2 linked regions of the Oryzias latipes genome follow. The protein of the gene in region 2 purifies or fractionates together with the protein of the main gene of each other region. This does not show direct contact. Links are inferred from orthologs where the notes say so. Each region holds a gene or a part of one and is shown on either strand. Other genes may lie near its edges.

The links.
Region 1: the proteins of cpsf6 (region 2) and ncbp3 purify together in Homo sapiens (co-immunoprecipitation; 3 studies listed by BioGRID and IntAct, with this or other methods). This does not show direct contact. The link is inferred for Oryzias latipes from reciprocal best matches to the Homo sapiens genes CPSF6 and NCBP3.

The regions. Positions count from the first base shown.
Region 1 is NC_019872.2:24,105,282-24,112,571, reverse strand, and holds the start of ncbp3 (nuclear cap-binding protein subunit 3), read right to left. Parts: upstream 4,135-7,290; 5' UTR 3,994-4,134; coding exon 3,814-3,993; intron 3,001-3,813; coding exon 2,935-3,000; intron 2,595-2,934; coding exon 2,489-2,594; intron 2,416-2,488; coding exon 2,290-2,415; intron 2,212-2,289; coding exon 2,092-2,211; intron 2,015-2,091; coding exon 1,890-2,014; intron 1,371-1,889; coding exon 1,262-1,370; intron 1-1,261. Other genes in the region: rap1 GTPase-activating protein 2, read right to left, coding at 5,748-5,795. UniProt on the Homo sapiens protein: Associates with NCBP1/CBP80 to form an alternative cap-binding complex (CBC) which plays a key role in mRNA export. NCBP3 serves as adapter protein linking the capped RNAs (m7GpppG-capped RNA) to NCBP1/CBP80.
Region 2 is NC_019881.2:14,390,631-14,397,997, forward strand, and holds the start of cpsf6 (cleavage and polyadenylation specificity factor subunit 6), read right to left. Parts: upstream 4,282-7,367; 5' UTR 4,231-4,281; coding exon 4,171-4,230; intron 1,412-4,170; coding exon 1,202-1,411; intron 1,087-1,201; coding exon 983-1,086; intron 1-982. UniProt on the Homo sapiens protein: Component of the cleavage factor Im (CFIm) complex that functions as an activator of the pre-mRNA 3'-end cleavage and polyadenylation processing required for the maturation of pre-mRNA into functional mRNAs.

The DNA.
Region 1 (7,290 bases), on a different chromosome or scaffold from region 2:
TTAGGTGTGATCATTGTACTATTAAGAAATCTGTGGTTGATTCAGAACAGAGACGGGTTGCTGCAGATAAAGGCAGAATGAGGAAGATTTCTGCCAGACAAATACATGGGATTAAGAGAGCCGCTGCTGAAATACCATGACAAAGCTGCAAGCACATATTTGAAACTGCTGGTGTCTCTGGGGACCCACCAACATCAAGGTGTAGGACACTCCAGAGGCTTGTAGTTCTAAGTAAACCTTCTATTCGCCAAACAACACTGACAACCAGAAACGGCTGCAGTGGGCCCAGACATAATGAAGACTCATTTTCAAACAGTCTTGTTCACTAATGAATGCCGTGTAACCCTGGATGGTCCAGATGGATGGAGTAGTGGGTGGATGGTAGATGGCCACCATGTCCCAACAAGGCTGTGACGTCAGCAAGGAGGTGGGGAGTCATGGTTTGGGCTGGAATCATAGGGAGAGAGCTGGTCGGCCCTTTTAGGGTCCCTGAAGTAGGTGGAATTTCTGACTGACCACGTTCTTCCATGGTACAAAAAGAAGAACCGTGCTTTCCGTAACAAAATCCTCTTCATGCATGACAATGCACCATCCCATGCTGCAAGGAAAACCTCTGCATCGTTGGCTGCTATGGACAGAAAAGGAGATAAACTGATGGTTTGGCCCCCATCCTCCCCTGGCCTCAACCCTATTCAGAACTTTTGGAGAATTCCTCAAGTAAAATATCTCTGAGGGTTGGAGGCAGTTCAAATCCAAACAGCAGCTCTGGGAGGATATTCTGACATCAAAGAAATTCAAGCAGAAACTCTCCAAAAAGTTCAATAGATGCAACAATTGTGAAGCTACTACAAGATAAGGGGTCCTGTGTTCAAATGGAACTTGACCTATGAAGATGTTTTTGATTGGAATAGCTTTACATTTCAGTAAATACGAACATGTAGCAAACTACCATTTTCAGTTCTTTAGAATCTATCAAATGTTGTGGAACTCGGTTGTGTGTAATAATGTGGAACAGTGACTTTGAGGGTTTTATCTTTAGGTTGTGTTCAGTAACATTTACCGTTATTTATACTCTAACGCTTACTGACTTGAACATTCTGCTGACTGACGTTTGCGTTGACAATTACAGAGAAATCACAGAAAAATGTCATTGGTGTAATTTGGAACGTGCTGCAAAAGTGGGTTTTGTGGTTTCAGGTGGGCTTCAGGGTTTGAGAGTCGCCGTCCTGGTGGGCGTGTCCCCACAGACACGGCGGCTCACCTTGTGTGGCGAAGCGCAGCAGCAGCTTGTTCCCCTTGAAGGGTTTGATGGCGGGCCGCGGCTCGTTCCTCAGCAGCGACTCTCTCTCCGCCCGCGACAGGTCGTCCACCTGAGTCGTGCACACACACATAAACACACACATAAACGTGTCAACAGCTCCTCCTGACTCCAGCCTCTTGCTGAGTTTACTGCAAACTCAATTCTCCTGGCGAATTTGTTTCCTCCGTTTTGACACGCGCTAAATTTGCTCCTGGAAGCTTGTCGTAAACCTGACGCTCCTGCTGTGTGTGGGAGGGGCTAAAGGTTTGGAAAATCCCAGAATTTTTTTTTATTTTTGTCTCTATGGAAAAAAGAAAAATCATAAAGTTAAGGAGGAGAGCGGTCAGATTGTCCTCCATGTTGGTTTTGGCCTCCAGATGCTGATCACGTCATCAAAGCATCCTGGGCTAAAGCTGACTCCCTGATTGGTTGACGTGACGCGAATTCGTGACCAAAGTTCAGCCAGAATATTCACCGCTCGCCAGAATCTTTCTGACGCTTCACTCCCGTTCAGTGTGAACGCAGCTTTAGACCCCCCACCCCCCACTCTCTGACTGACCAATGAGCTTGTGCGGTTGGTGACAGCTACCTGTGTTCCGCGCTCCTTCGGCTGCTGCTCCTCCTGCACTTCACTGCTCCTTCTGGCTGCCCCGTCCTCTTCATCGCCCACCTCACCCTCCTCTTCCTCATCCTCTGAGTCTGGACCTCGCTGAGCTGTTGTGTGCAGATAGAGCCATTACCCAGGCTGCACTGCGGCCTCGGAAAGTCAGAGCATGTTTCCACTCGCTGACCTTTGCTCTCTTTGCCTGGCTGCTCTCCGGTCTCCGTGGTAACGGCCTCCGGGTCGGGCATTCTGCTAGTGTTGATGAGCGCTCGGATGGAGGTGTCATCGTCCAACCAGACCACGTTACCTGAAGGATGGAAGCGGTGGTTAAACCTCAGGACCCTCTTTGGGTTTCCTGTCGTCCTGCAAACGTTCGTGCGCTCACATGACGCGTCGTCAATCCACTCGATGTGGGCGGGAGGATACTCCTTAAAATAGCCGAAGATGTCCTGCGTGCTCATGTCGTCCACGCCCGTGACGTGGAGCGCCTCCAGCCGCAGGCGGGGAATGGCTGAAGCAGACGACAACGTCAACAATACACCAACACCACCTCGGGACACGACAAAACCCGGAGCCACCCCCACCTTTCTTTATGGTTTCCTTGTCCAGGACGACGGCCTTCTGACTGACGCTCTGCTCGCCGCAGAAATGGAAACGTCGCGCTCGCTTCTCCTTCTTCTCAATCGCCTCCTAAAACACAAACAACTGTGTCATACCCCGGTTTGTAGTTGGCTACCATGGTAACAGCTTCCTTCACGTCAGAGTTAATGGTTTGTGGTTGGAGGTGAAGGCAGGTCACACGTCTACTTTCTTCTGATCGTCTGGGTGGCAGAGGCAGCAGTCTGAGGAGAGACGAGGCGTTCCCAAGCCAGGCTTGGAGAGGTCGGCACCCAGGTGGGTGATTCAGTGAGGTTCTTTTTCATGAGGCCTTGCACTTTTGGACCTGGACTGGAACTTTATTTCATGCTTTCAATGCTTTTTACCAACAACGAGCTGATCACATGGCAGCTGCGTGATGAGGCTGCGGTACCTTTGAGTTGACGTCAATCCCGGTGATAAACGCTCCGGCCTTGTTCTCGTAACGCCGGCTGGTGTCCTGCAGAGACAGAGCGGGCAGAACTAGGTCATCTGCCAGACCGGGTCATAATGGGCCGAGCCAGACTAAAGAAAAGTACAACTTAAAGTACCGTTAACTTTCACACACCTAACTAGGTATGTGAAATTTGTTCTCCACATTTGACCCCACCCCTGGGGGAGCGGTGAGCTGCGGACACAGCCGCGCTCGGACGGAACTTTATGGTGGATTAAGTTAATCCACCATATAGGGGGTTATTCATTAACTCCCCCAATCTAACCCCTATGCTGAGTGTCAAGCAGGGAGGCATTGGGTCCCATTTTTAGAGGCTTTGGTATGACTCGGGCTGGATTTGAACTCACGACCTTCCAGTCACAGGGCGGACACTAACCCAAGGCTACTGAGCTGGTTCAAGACCGGGTCATGATGGAATGACCCAGACTTAGACTAGGTCATAAATGGGCTGGCCCGGACCTGAGACTGGGTTATAATTATAATGGACTGACAGTAGCTAATCGATCATTTTAGCTGAATCCCCGCAGAAAGCTCTGCTTATAATATATGCACGTTTTTAGACGGATTCTCCAAACTCACCGCCGTTTCTTAGGTAAGTAAAGATCAACAGGTGAGCGACACAACAACTCTCTATTGGCTAAGGGGCCCAGAAAAGAGAAAATCCCCGTGGCTGCAGCGAGCATTAACAGCGGCGCCCGTCACCGACTAATTCCTGGAACTACTAGACGGAGCTTCGGGTAATAATCGCATGCCGACTCTGTATGTTGAAGCAAAACTCCAGTCCCCGGCTCTGCGGGCCTAAGTAGTTCGGGGTCTTACCGGCAGAAGCTCCTTCAGAGAGCGGTTAACGGAGATATCCTCTGCATCCACCTCGCCCTCCTCCACCTCCATCGGTTCGGCTTCGCGAGCGTCATCTCGGTCCGACTCGGAATCCGGTTCCGAGTGCTCTGAGCCGCTGTCTGGTTTCACCGATACCCGCAGGCTGCGCACCGCCGCCATGGCGCTAACTACTGCGAACAAGGGCTGCTGAGGCTGCGGTGGTACCGTGACCCGGCACTGGTTCGGTGCGGTGGTACCGTGACCCGGCAGACGTTCCCTGCTCTTCTTCTTCGTTGACGGGAATGTAACCGAGTCGGGGGTCTGGCGCCCCCTATCGCACCGTTCCGTCACAGTCAGTTTGTCAAAGTTTTTTTCTTAAACTTTATTGTTCAAAACAAATAGAACAAATATGTATAACAAGAACAACAGTCATTAAAAACGAGAATGCCAGGGGATGGTACATAGATACATGTATTACAAAAGAAAAATTACAGAAACAGATTGCTATGAATTGAAAATGTTCAAAGTCAGTTTGTCAAAGTTGATGGCTGGGCCTCCAACAACTATGACATCAGTCAGCACCAGAGCCTGGAGGAGAGACTGTCTGCAGCCCGGATCCTGTTCCAGAACGACCCGCCGTGCCCGGTGGTCGTTGATGAAGTGAGCAACGCCAACGATACTCTGTTTTTCCCCCAGCTGACCTTCATTCACCTCCTTCCCAGAGCAAATCGTCTGTGGTTGTCTCTCTCTGCATGAAACCAAGGTGTTGTTCACAAATGTTCAGCTCTGACTTCAGTCTGGCTTGCTCTCCTCTGTTTCATGACTTCTCTGTGACTCATCCGTTTTATTCCTCTTGATGAACAGTCCAGTCATAAACTGACAGCCACCTCTCCTAAACTAACATGTTCTTTATTCATCGACTCTTCAGCGTTCTCCTCCATGTATGTCGTAAAATCTGTCGAGACATTTACATGTATGTACTAGGAACAAATGACACATCTGTTGTTCCACATCAGTTTTTTAGCTACAAACTAATGACTTCCGTTCAGCTTTTAGCTTTAACATGACATGTAAATCAGTTCATGGTGAGTTTTGGATTTCTATATCTGGGTAAAATATGTGTGTTTTTTACATTTCCCTTTTTTTTTTTTTTGCTTCGCAGTTCTTCTCTTCTCTGCACAGTGGCGCAGTGGTTGCCTCACAGCAAGAAGGCCCCCGGTTCAGGTCCCGGCTGGGGGACCTGAAACAGAACATCAATGGGGGACATTTCTGTGTGGAGTTTGCATGTTCTCCCCGTGTATGCGTGGGTTTTCTCCGGGGTCTCCGGCTGCCTCCCACTGTCCAAAAACATGCTTCATAGGTTAATTGGTTAATCTAAATTGTCCATAGGTGTGAGTGTGAGTGTGAATGGGTGTGTGATTGTGGACATTCTACCCTGCGACAGACTGGCGAACTGTCCAGGGTGTCCCCTGCCTTCGCCCACAAGTGGCCGGGATAGGCTCCGGCAGCCCCGTGACCCCGAAAGGGAAAAACGGAATAGAAATTCAATGAGTTCTTCTCAAAATGTCCCACAGATCCGACACTTGTCGGGGAGAAAGAATGTCTTCCATGTTTGTGAGGAAATAATTTATTTCCTTTGTGCACCACATGAACAGAAAACACCTCACATTACACGGATCACATGATTACAAAAAGTGCTGGAATCAATAAATGTGAAAAACAGACAATTTAAATCCCAAAGAAACCACTCAGACGAAAGAGGACAATTATTGAAATAAATTACACTTTGACTCGTTTAGTGTAAAAAAACTAAAAGGACTTTTGTGAAGTTCATACATCAAACTGTACAAGTTAAAAGCTCCAAAAATCTTGCTGTGATCCTCAGAAACCAGGTTGTTGAGTGTGAAACAGAAGAGCTGCAGTGAAATACACCATCAGTGGTCCTCACAAAGGTGGGGAAGCTTGTCTGTGTGCGACAGTTCCTGTGGAAAACAGACAGAAAATCATTCACTTGTGTGTCCATGAAGATTGTCCTTCATGTAGGTAGAGTCCATCAAAGCAGAAAGCCGTTTTAGCAGACGTTTAGTCAGTTCAGTATGATTATACTACTGCCTCAAACTGAATTCAACGTTGGTGAAACACTGTGCGCAGAGCGCCCTCTAGTGTTGACATCTATAAGGTGCACTTTGATTTGAATATCATAATACCAACTAACTCTGGGGGGCAGCACAGGTGTTTTTCTGGGATAGGCTCCAGAAAACCCCATGAAGCTGCGGTCACACCAAACGCCATTCCCGTGGCATTGGTATGTCAATAGTACAGACACGATTTAATTTTTAATTGCACCTCTTTAGTACACACATGCATACACACATAGCGAGAAGGGGATGGTCACGTTGTACCCTATCCCCCGTACCACAGATGAGGTGGGGCAGATCGGTGGCTACTGCAAGGCCATTTGTGGTGTCCCAGGGATTCCTGTGCCTCTGACCTTGCAGCTCTTTTCCACGCGGTGTGGGAGTCCCCAACATCTGAGCTGGGTGGACTGTATTCCCAGAGGAGCAGATTGGGCCCCTTTTCTAGGCACACCAGGGCTCCCCAATTTTTCCATCACTGTTCACAGCAACTAAAGCCTAATCCTTACATTCCTTATATTGACGTGTTCTCCCTACCAAGACAAAGGTGGATAAAGGTGGAAAGATTTCATTTAATCCATGGACACCAGTGCAGATCACAAATCATTGAAAAAAAAGGTTCAAAGCACTGTCTAGTGGGTCTAGATGACACAACTCCCAACGTTAAAGTGCCTAGGATAGCACAAGGGTTAACTTTACAATGTTTTTCTTATTATCAACGAGACAATAATAAAAAATGTCCTCTAATTTTACTCTTGTTTTTATATTTTTCCTCTGGTCAACGCGGGACAGCAAATCTTCAAACTCAGAGAGACAGAAAGACCCGTGGAAGCGGCTGTTGTTCAGACACAGCATGGAGAGTGAAGCTCACTGTACCAGCAGACACTCTTAAAGATCTCATGAACCAGGACCTGGAGACGTGATTACTGATACTTTTGTAGAGCTCTTCAAAGTAAATAAAGCCCCGAGCAATCAATCAATCAATGATACTTTATGAATCCCATCATCCGTGTCTTCCATGCATTGTAAATGATAAGCAAACACTGGTCCATGCAGGGATCATAGGTCCATGCAGGGATCACGGGTCCATGGAGCGATCACAGGTCCATGCAGGGATCACGGGTCCATGGAGCGATCACAGGTCCATGCAGGGATAACGGGTACACAGAGGGATCACGGATCCATGCAGGGAACACGGGGCCATGCAGGGATCACAGGTCCATGCAGGGATCACAGGTCCATGCAGGGATCACGGGTCCACGGAGGGATCAAAGAGCCATGCAGGGAACATGGGTCCATGCAAGGAACACAGGTCCATGAAGGGATCACGGGTCCATGGAGG
Region 2 (7,367 bases):
GACATTCTGCGCCTGCAGGACCGTTTATTGAGGCTGGGCAGGCATGCATGCGTCCTCCATTGAAAGCGAGACAGAAACGCCAACTCAGGCAGCAGTGTGTACAAGCACGCACTTCAATAGCCCTGCCCACAGAGCAGGGGCCGCCCTTCGCTCAGCCGTCAGTAAGCCTGCTGCGCTTTGGAAATGTCCTGCTATTACACAGTGTCAGCATAGCATGAAACGCGATCGTCGCTGCTATCTGTTTACATAATAAACCGCCTTATCTGTTCAAATTGTGTATTACTATAAAAATAATATTAATACACACAACAGAGCTATCTCCTCACAAAGATTTGTGTACTCTTACGGTGTAGCTTTTGAATAGACAGAAAATACTTTATTTACATTCATCCATCCATCCATCTAGGTAGATCTTTTGGAGCTTGTCTCAAAAGTAACTCGCATGCCAAAAAAGTGTGGGCACCCCTGGTGTAAGCTCAAACCGGAAATCATCAAACTATATAATGGTACGGTGGACAGTAAGCATCACCTTAAGGGTTTTGTGGTGGCACAACTTTAATTACTTCTGTTCAAATTGTCTTGAGTCTCGTCACAACTCTGAAAATGAATAAACTCTGCGCGGTTTAAACAAAATGCATACAATAAATTGCACATGACATGGATTCCTATACATATGAATGTATAATAAAATAAAAAATACTCTGACGTCAACACATAAATAACACACGCTCTCTTTGACATACCGTAACTCTTTGGCCATTTACGTGATCAAACCGAATCGGCTGATTCTGATCTGGAGAAAAGCAGGTTTTCATAGAGGATTTGCACCGATATGCAACACATCATTAATGTAAAGTGTTGCACATCAGCGTAAGGCTGCTTTTTCCACAGTTGAAGAGTCACGGTAATCCAAAGAACGTTAACATTGAAGCTAAAGCCTCGGTGTAAAGAGTTAAACACAAACAAAAACTACTGTCCTCACCCTTTTGACTGGCCATTAGCCCTGTTTTCAAAGAACTTTATCTCCAGCACATCTGTAATGCCTACTGAACGAATGGCTTCAGTCAGGTCTTCATCTGTTGTCCACTGTAAAAAAAGAACAATAATAAAAAGAGACAAATTATCAATACTACTTTCTTAGCATTTAGTCGAAATTGACAATGAAACTTCTAATTATTTAATTTGAATGGTTGAAACCCACCCATGTAAGGTTGCCGATGTACAAAGCAATCCGTTTGCCTGTATAGGTGTACACCACATTGGGTGGATTACTCTTCCCTCCGTCAGAACCGCCAGATGGAGGCATTGAATCCATGTAGTCCCTGTCTTCTGGAGCATCTCCATTATTGGCAGATGGGGATATCACATCATCGTACAAGTCAATCTGCTCGTGAACTGGATACTCCGATTCCTTTAAAAGAAAAATGAGTTAACACAGTTAAAGCAAAACATGTGGGGTTCAATTCCACAAGAACCTGAAACTGTGGCTCAACGTTTATAAAAACTGGGGATGTAGAAATGCATCTTTTAAGTGAAAGATATTATGGATGGATATTATTTTTAGTAATGTACAGGGGTGTAACGATTAATCAACGAATCGATTTATTTTCTTACGATTGAAACAGATGTATCTGTCTAATCTAAGGTAAGTTGCTTATCGAATTGGCAGTTTGCCACAACTGGGACGCAGAGGGAAAGACAGTGGCTGTGACAACATTAACCACTTGGATCTGTCGCCTCTTTGCATCTTTCGGGATTAAAAACAGTGACAATCTCTTCTCACAATGAGCTTTTGTCACCCCTATGGGGCCAAAAGGAAATGGTCCATTCAAGCAGCGCTGTTACTGTGACCCCAACCACTTTTATAGTTTCACATAGGGCTGCACGATATGAGGAAAACTCGCGATATGCGATATTGGTGATTAATATTGCGATAACGATATGATTCGCGGTATATAAACAAACAGCAAAACAACCAAAAACATAATTTCCATTTCACTGCAACAGTTTAAAAATTATACTCCAAATGACCCTTGTCGACATAGGAGGCAAACATCAAACATAAAAGGGCTCATCTGATTGATCAACAACGTAAATGGGTCCTTCCGATTGGTTAAATGCATAAAGGGATTTATTTCATTTGTTCAATATTTCAAGCTGCCACGAGATTGTTTTAGCACATTTAAGGTAACCATTTATTGCGATTTTCGCCGTCTTTTGTGGTATGCATATTGCACAGCTTAATGTCGCGATAACGATAAATTTGCGATATATTGTGCAGGCCTAGTTTCACACAATGTACGTTACTTTCTGCCTTTATGAACGGGTGATTTAAATGATTGTGCACTGCAGGCAAAAAAAACAAGTTTGCCACGGTGACGTAATGACCCTGTGTTTTGAAGCTGTTGGCGGTGAGATGACAGGTGGGGCAATACGATGAGCGCATGCATAAGCGGGAAACGCGCTAAAGGTTAATGAATGCACAGCCGGTTTTTTAATTATATTTAGGATGTCACAGCGACTGCCATTTATGAAGTTATAAGCTCAGTTTGTTGATAATACCAAATAAGGTCAGATTATACCCTGACTTTTTTATGTTCTGACAAATGTAAATGTGAAATGAGAAAAAGTTTTAAAATGAATAGTACAGCTGATCGCCACTCCATTTACTGGGGGTGAAAAAAAATGAAGAATGTCCAATTGTGGAAAATTTATATTACTATAATTAGCATTCTAAGGTCAAAGTAAAACATTTACTTTTACATGCAATAAAAACACCATGATAGATTTAATTTACATGACGTATACAGTATGATGTACCACAAATGCTGTACTTTTTGTTTCAAACTAACATAGTTTTAAGTTATTTAAGTTCACTTTTTAAGTTTGGCCTATTTTCCTTGTGCAATATTGTTATGAAAGAACGTCTTTGAGGTAATGCCAAAATGCCTGCTGTTGGGAATTAAATACATTTCTAGACATATTGAACTTTTTTACATTCTAAATTTCAAAATGGCACTTTATGTCACAAATGCTGTTGACCCCTAATCTATAGAAGTTTACTGCATATCACCAGACGCTTACTTAGCTCCCTGTTTTACTGGAAATTGCTGCAGCTATAATAAAACATGGAGACCAAATAGTGCTAGAGAGTTAGTCAACAAGAAGAAGCTGAAATAAAAGAAATTACACCAGAATTTAAAAGTAAAAATGGTTACTAGAAAAAGCAAATTACTATAATAAATTGATTTAAATTAATTAAATTCCAAAAGCATTTTTTTCTCTTTATTTTATGTCACGCTTTATGAGGAAAAAAAGAGTAGTAAACTTAAAGAAATGTTAAAAAAAACTAAAACATGACTAATAATTTTTAAGTCACTGGCTCTTAATTAAGTTTAGCTAAACAATTTTAATAAGAAACAAGGAAAAAAAACATTTATTTTTAAATGTTTAGCTCCGACAGTATAATACCATAACAAATTCTGTGCAAAACAAATGTCAGTAAGTTATGATTTTAGTATGCGGTCTAAAAAGGGGGGCGCGGTTTTTAATGTGCGCGCGCGCAAGAATAAAAAAAAACACCCACCATGCATGATGACCCAACCTGCTGCCAGAATGGAAGCCGTGTAACTCGTGTTTTCCCCTTTTGTTTTTATTTTTGACGTTTTTAAAAGTACACCAAGTTACATTTGATCCAAACTATAACCCACGTCCAATACAGTAAACCAATTAAACGTGTGAAGTTAACCAACACCAGCTAGCTTATCATGAAATGCGTGTTTGGTTAACAGCCTCCGTCGGGAGAAAAAAAAAAAAAGAAAGCACACACTGCGCGGCCTATACGCGCGCTCCACTGAAAAGGCTGCTAGACGCTTTGCTGATGGACAAAAATGTACATATTCTAAATAATAACCCACATCACATTTACCTCCACATGTGTACTACTGTTTGAATAAAAAATGCAGATCTATTGTACAGAAGTTTGCTATCTATGCTGCAACCAACGCAGCACACTGACTGACAGAGGCCTGTGTGTGTATTGCTAGTGGAGAAGCTAGCACGAGCATCAAATTACACCTATTTTTCCTATAACGCCGAAAAGACCATTGCAAAAATTAGAAAAAGAACTTCAAAGCACTGAACAAACTCGAGAATATTTTATTTTAATACCTGATTAAATTCCTCTTCTACGTCGGCGTAGATGTCGATATGATCCACACCGTCCGCCATTTTCCTCTGCTTCGTGCCTCCGTCCGCCTGGCGGTGCAGAGGATCGGAGCTACAAACAATAACTCCGGGAGATGCATCAGCGCCCCTGCTGGTCGTATTCACTAACTACAGCCTGCTCTGCTGGGAATGACGGATTCATTGATCATCTGCATTTCACTTTAAACATTCATACTACTGAATACGACATCTATAAAAAATATAAATTATTCTGTTATGTATTTTGTAATTACGCATTTAAAAGAGGAATTCAATATCTATTTATTTATTAATAAATGATTTTCACAACAATGGAAATGCAATTTCTAAAAGAACTCAAATAGATAGAATAGATCACGCTTTTTTCTACGTACAGCTGTGCACCTGCCATTACTGTTTTGTTGATTGAAAATTTCAGCAAATTTGACACAAATCGCTGGAAGAAATGGTCTTTTAATAAAAATTGTAACAATTCTTGACAACAAAGTTAAAAGTGAAAATAAAAAGCAAAGTTATGTGTAAAGAGAAGAGTGAAACATGATCTCCAACTATATAGTTTCCTGTGTATTAGGTATTGCTGTAATTATACTATAATATTTTTTTCAAATTAAAAATATAAATATTTTAAGACGCCCAAGTGGCTGGGATAGGCTCCAGCAGCCCCGTGACCCCGAAAGGGAATAAACGGTTAAGAAAATGAATTAATGAATGAATGAATATTTTAAGTACATTGACAAGACACAAAACATTCTATTTTGGTGTATTATTTGTAGACTCACATTTTACACTATATTAGACATTTTATCAATAATGTCATATAAATAAATTTAAATCTGGCTTTTGATCAACATTTGAATACTTACTCTGATGTAAAGGATACAATAATAACTATAACACATAGGATTTTACCTTAAAAAGTAATTTTGTAAAACTTTATTGGAAAATAAAGTTTTATTTTTTGAAATCATCTGTCATTCACAATCCAATTTGTTGAAACAACCACTGCTATCATACTATATCTTTATAAATTTACTGCTCATTTATATGAAACTATAAGTTTATAAATAATAGGTGAATAAAAGGAGACAAACAGAAATGACACACAGTCAAAGTAAATGTAATAAAAACAACTTTGTGGATCTTTTATTTTATAAATAATGGCTTTAATCCATGTAATACTTTCATAAGAACAATTTACAGGTTTGTTTTACAAAGGAAAAAAACAGAACAAAAGAACAAAATCACATTCCAAGTTTTAGCTCCTCCTAAAAAAAATCATAAACATTTCATATATATTAGATTTTACCTCTGTCAATAACACAACCAAAGACAACAACAACAAAAATAATAATTTCAGTCAGACCATTTTAAATGTTTTAGTTAAAAAGAATATAAAAAAGGTAACAAATATATTAGAAGTAAATCTTTTTAACATGCAAAAATGGAAGAAAAAAAGAAGTTTGAAAAAAAGAAGCGTTCAGTTAAATCAATATAAAAATACATTGTAATTTATTGGTAAATAAATCAACATTAACAAATGTTATTATCATTAGATAGATACCATTGTGATTCTTTTTTCTTTTAAAGTTGTTTACTTATTTTTTTCAGCAGAGCATTACAGATACTTAAAAAAAAACCTGAGGCAAAATGTTATGCAAAAGAAAAACTTTTTTTTGCTTTAACTTCAAGAACAATTTAATTACATGGTGAAAGTGCACAAGACAAAAAAAGGCAGAAAAACGTTTTAAAATTGTGGCAGGTAAAATGTAATTAGTCTTAAAACATGTAAAAATTAGGGATAAAAGTATGACCCTTCCAACTTTTAACTTAAATATTTCTGATACCACTCATATAAGACATTTCTGACTGGGCCTTCATCTAGTCTGCTTTGGTTGATTCATCAAACCCCTTTAAAAAATGCCCTGTGATACAATTTACCAACTCAAGTTTCTCTTCACGCTAACTATTTTTTCAAATGCAACATATAACAAAAACAGATGCAGTAATGTGGATCTTGAAGGCTGAAGTGCATATTTGCAAATGCGCTCTAGGCCTTGCCTGTGATCTTCAGATCAGAGGAAGATGGAGACGGACAACTGGAGATGTGTTGCACTCTTGCTCTAATTACTTATGCTGCAACTTGTGACTCACCATTCCTTTTAAAAACAGATGCTGTAACCTTCATCTTTTCAGTCCATTTTCAATCTGTGACTCAAAGGCGTGCAGGAGTGAGTTTGCTGGAAAGTGTCCATGGCAACAGCAATCCATTAACTTGCTTTACTCGGTTGTCATTCTTAAACTTACAAAATATAATGCTTCAGAAGTCCAAGACTTTTTTCCTTTTTTTTAATGAGAGCAAGAAGACTTAAAAACGTTGTAAGAAAGTTGTCCATCATCAGGAAATTGATCCAGCAATGGAAAGACATAGCAGGAGGAGGACATATGACAGTGAAATGACAGATGCCCCTCCACAGTCGTCTGCATTCTCCTGCAGGACCCAAGCAGAGACACAATTTGATTAGAACTTATTGCAGGTTATTACTCAAATCAACAAGTTGCTATTTAATACTTTACAAATAACATATAGACAAAAATAAAAAGATAAGCACGAGGATATAACGAGTGGAAAGCTTACCTGCGGATGATAAGAATGACAGGACTCAGGGCGTCTGCGAATCTTCTGAGACCTCATTCTGTCACACTTCACTGATGCATTATGTTGAACAGGGTCAAGGGGAACAAAAAACCAATAGCGTCTAGAATTGGGCATTATATAATACACATTTTTGGGTCATAGTAAAAACGTAGAGGATGTAAGAAAAATCCATATTCTTCCTGAGATCAATTGATTTTTAAAAATGTATTTAGATTTTTCATAATGTATATTAGATACCCAAATCAAAGGATATATTTGACTTCTTTGGGCTCCAGGGTTATGGGCGGGTACTGCCTGGAGCAGTCACAGTCTGCTTGCACAACCAACATCAACAGGTTGCTCTCTGGGATCTGTTGCACTACAAACATTCTGACACAAACAGAATAAGTGCTCTTAAACAGCATAGAATAAATAAACTTTATTGTGCGTGTCTTTAGACTTAAGGGTCAATGATGACTGAAATACCATATTTTTCCACAAGAGGGCGGTCATACTCAACACAATA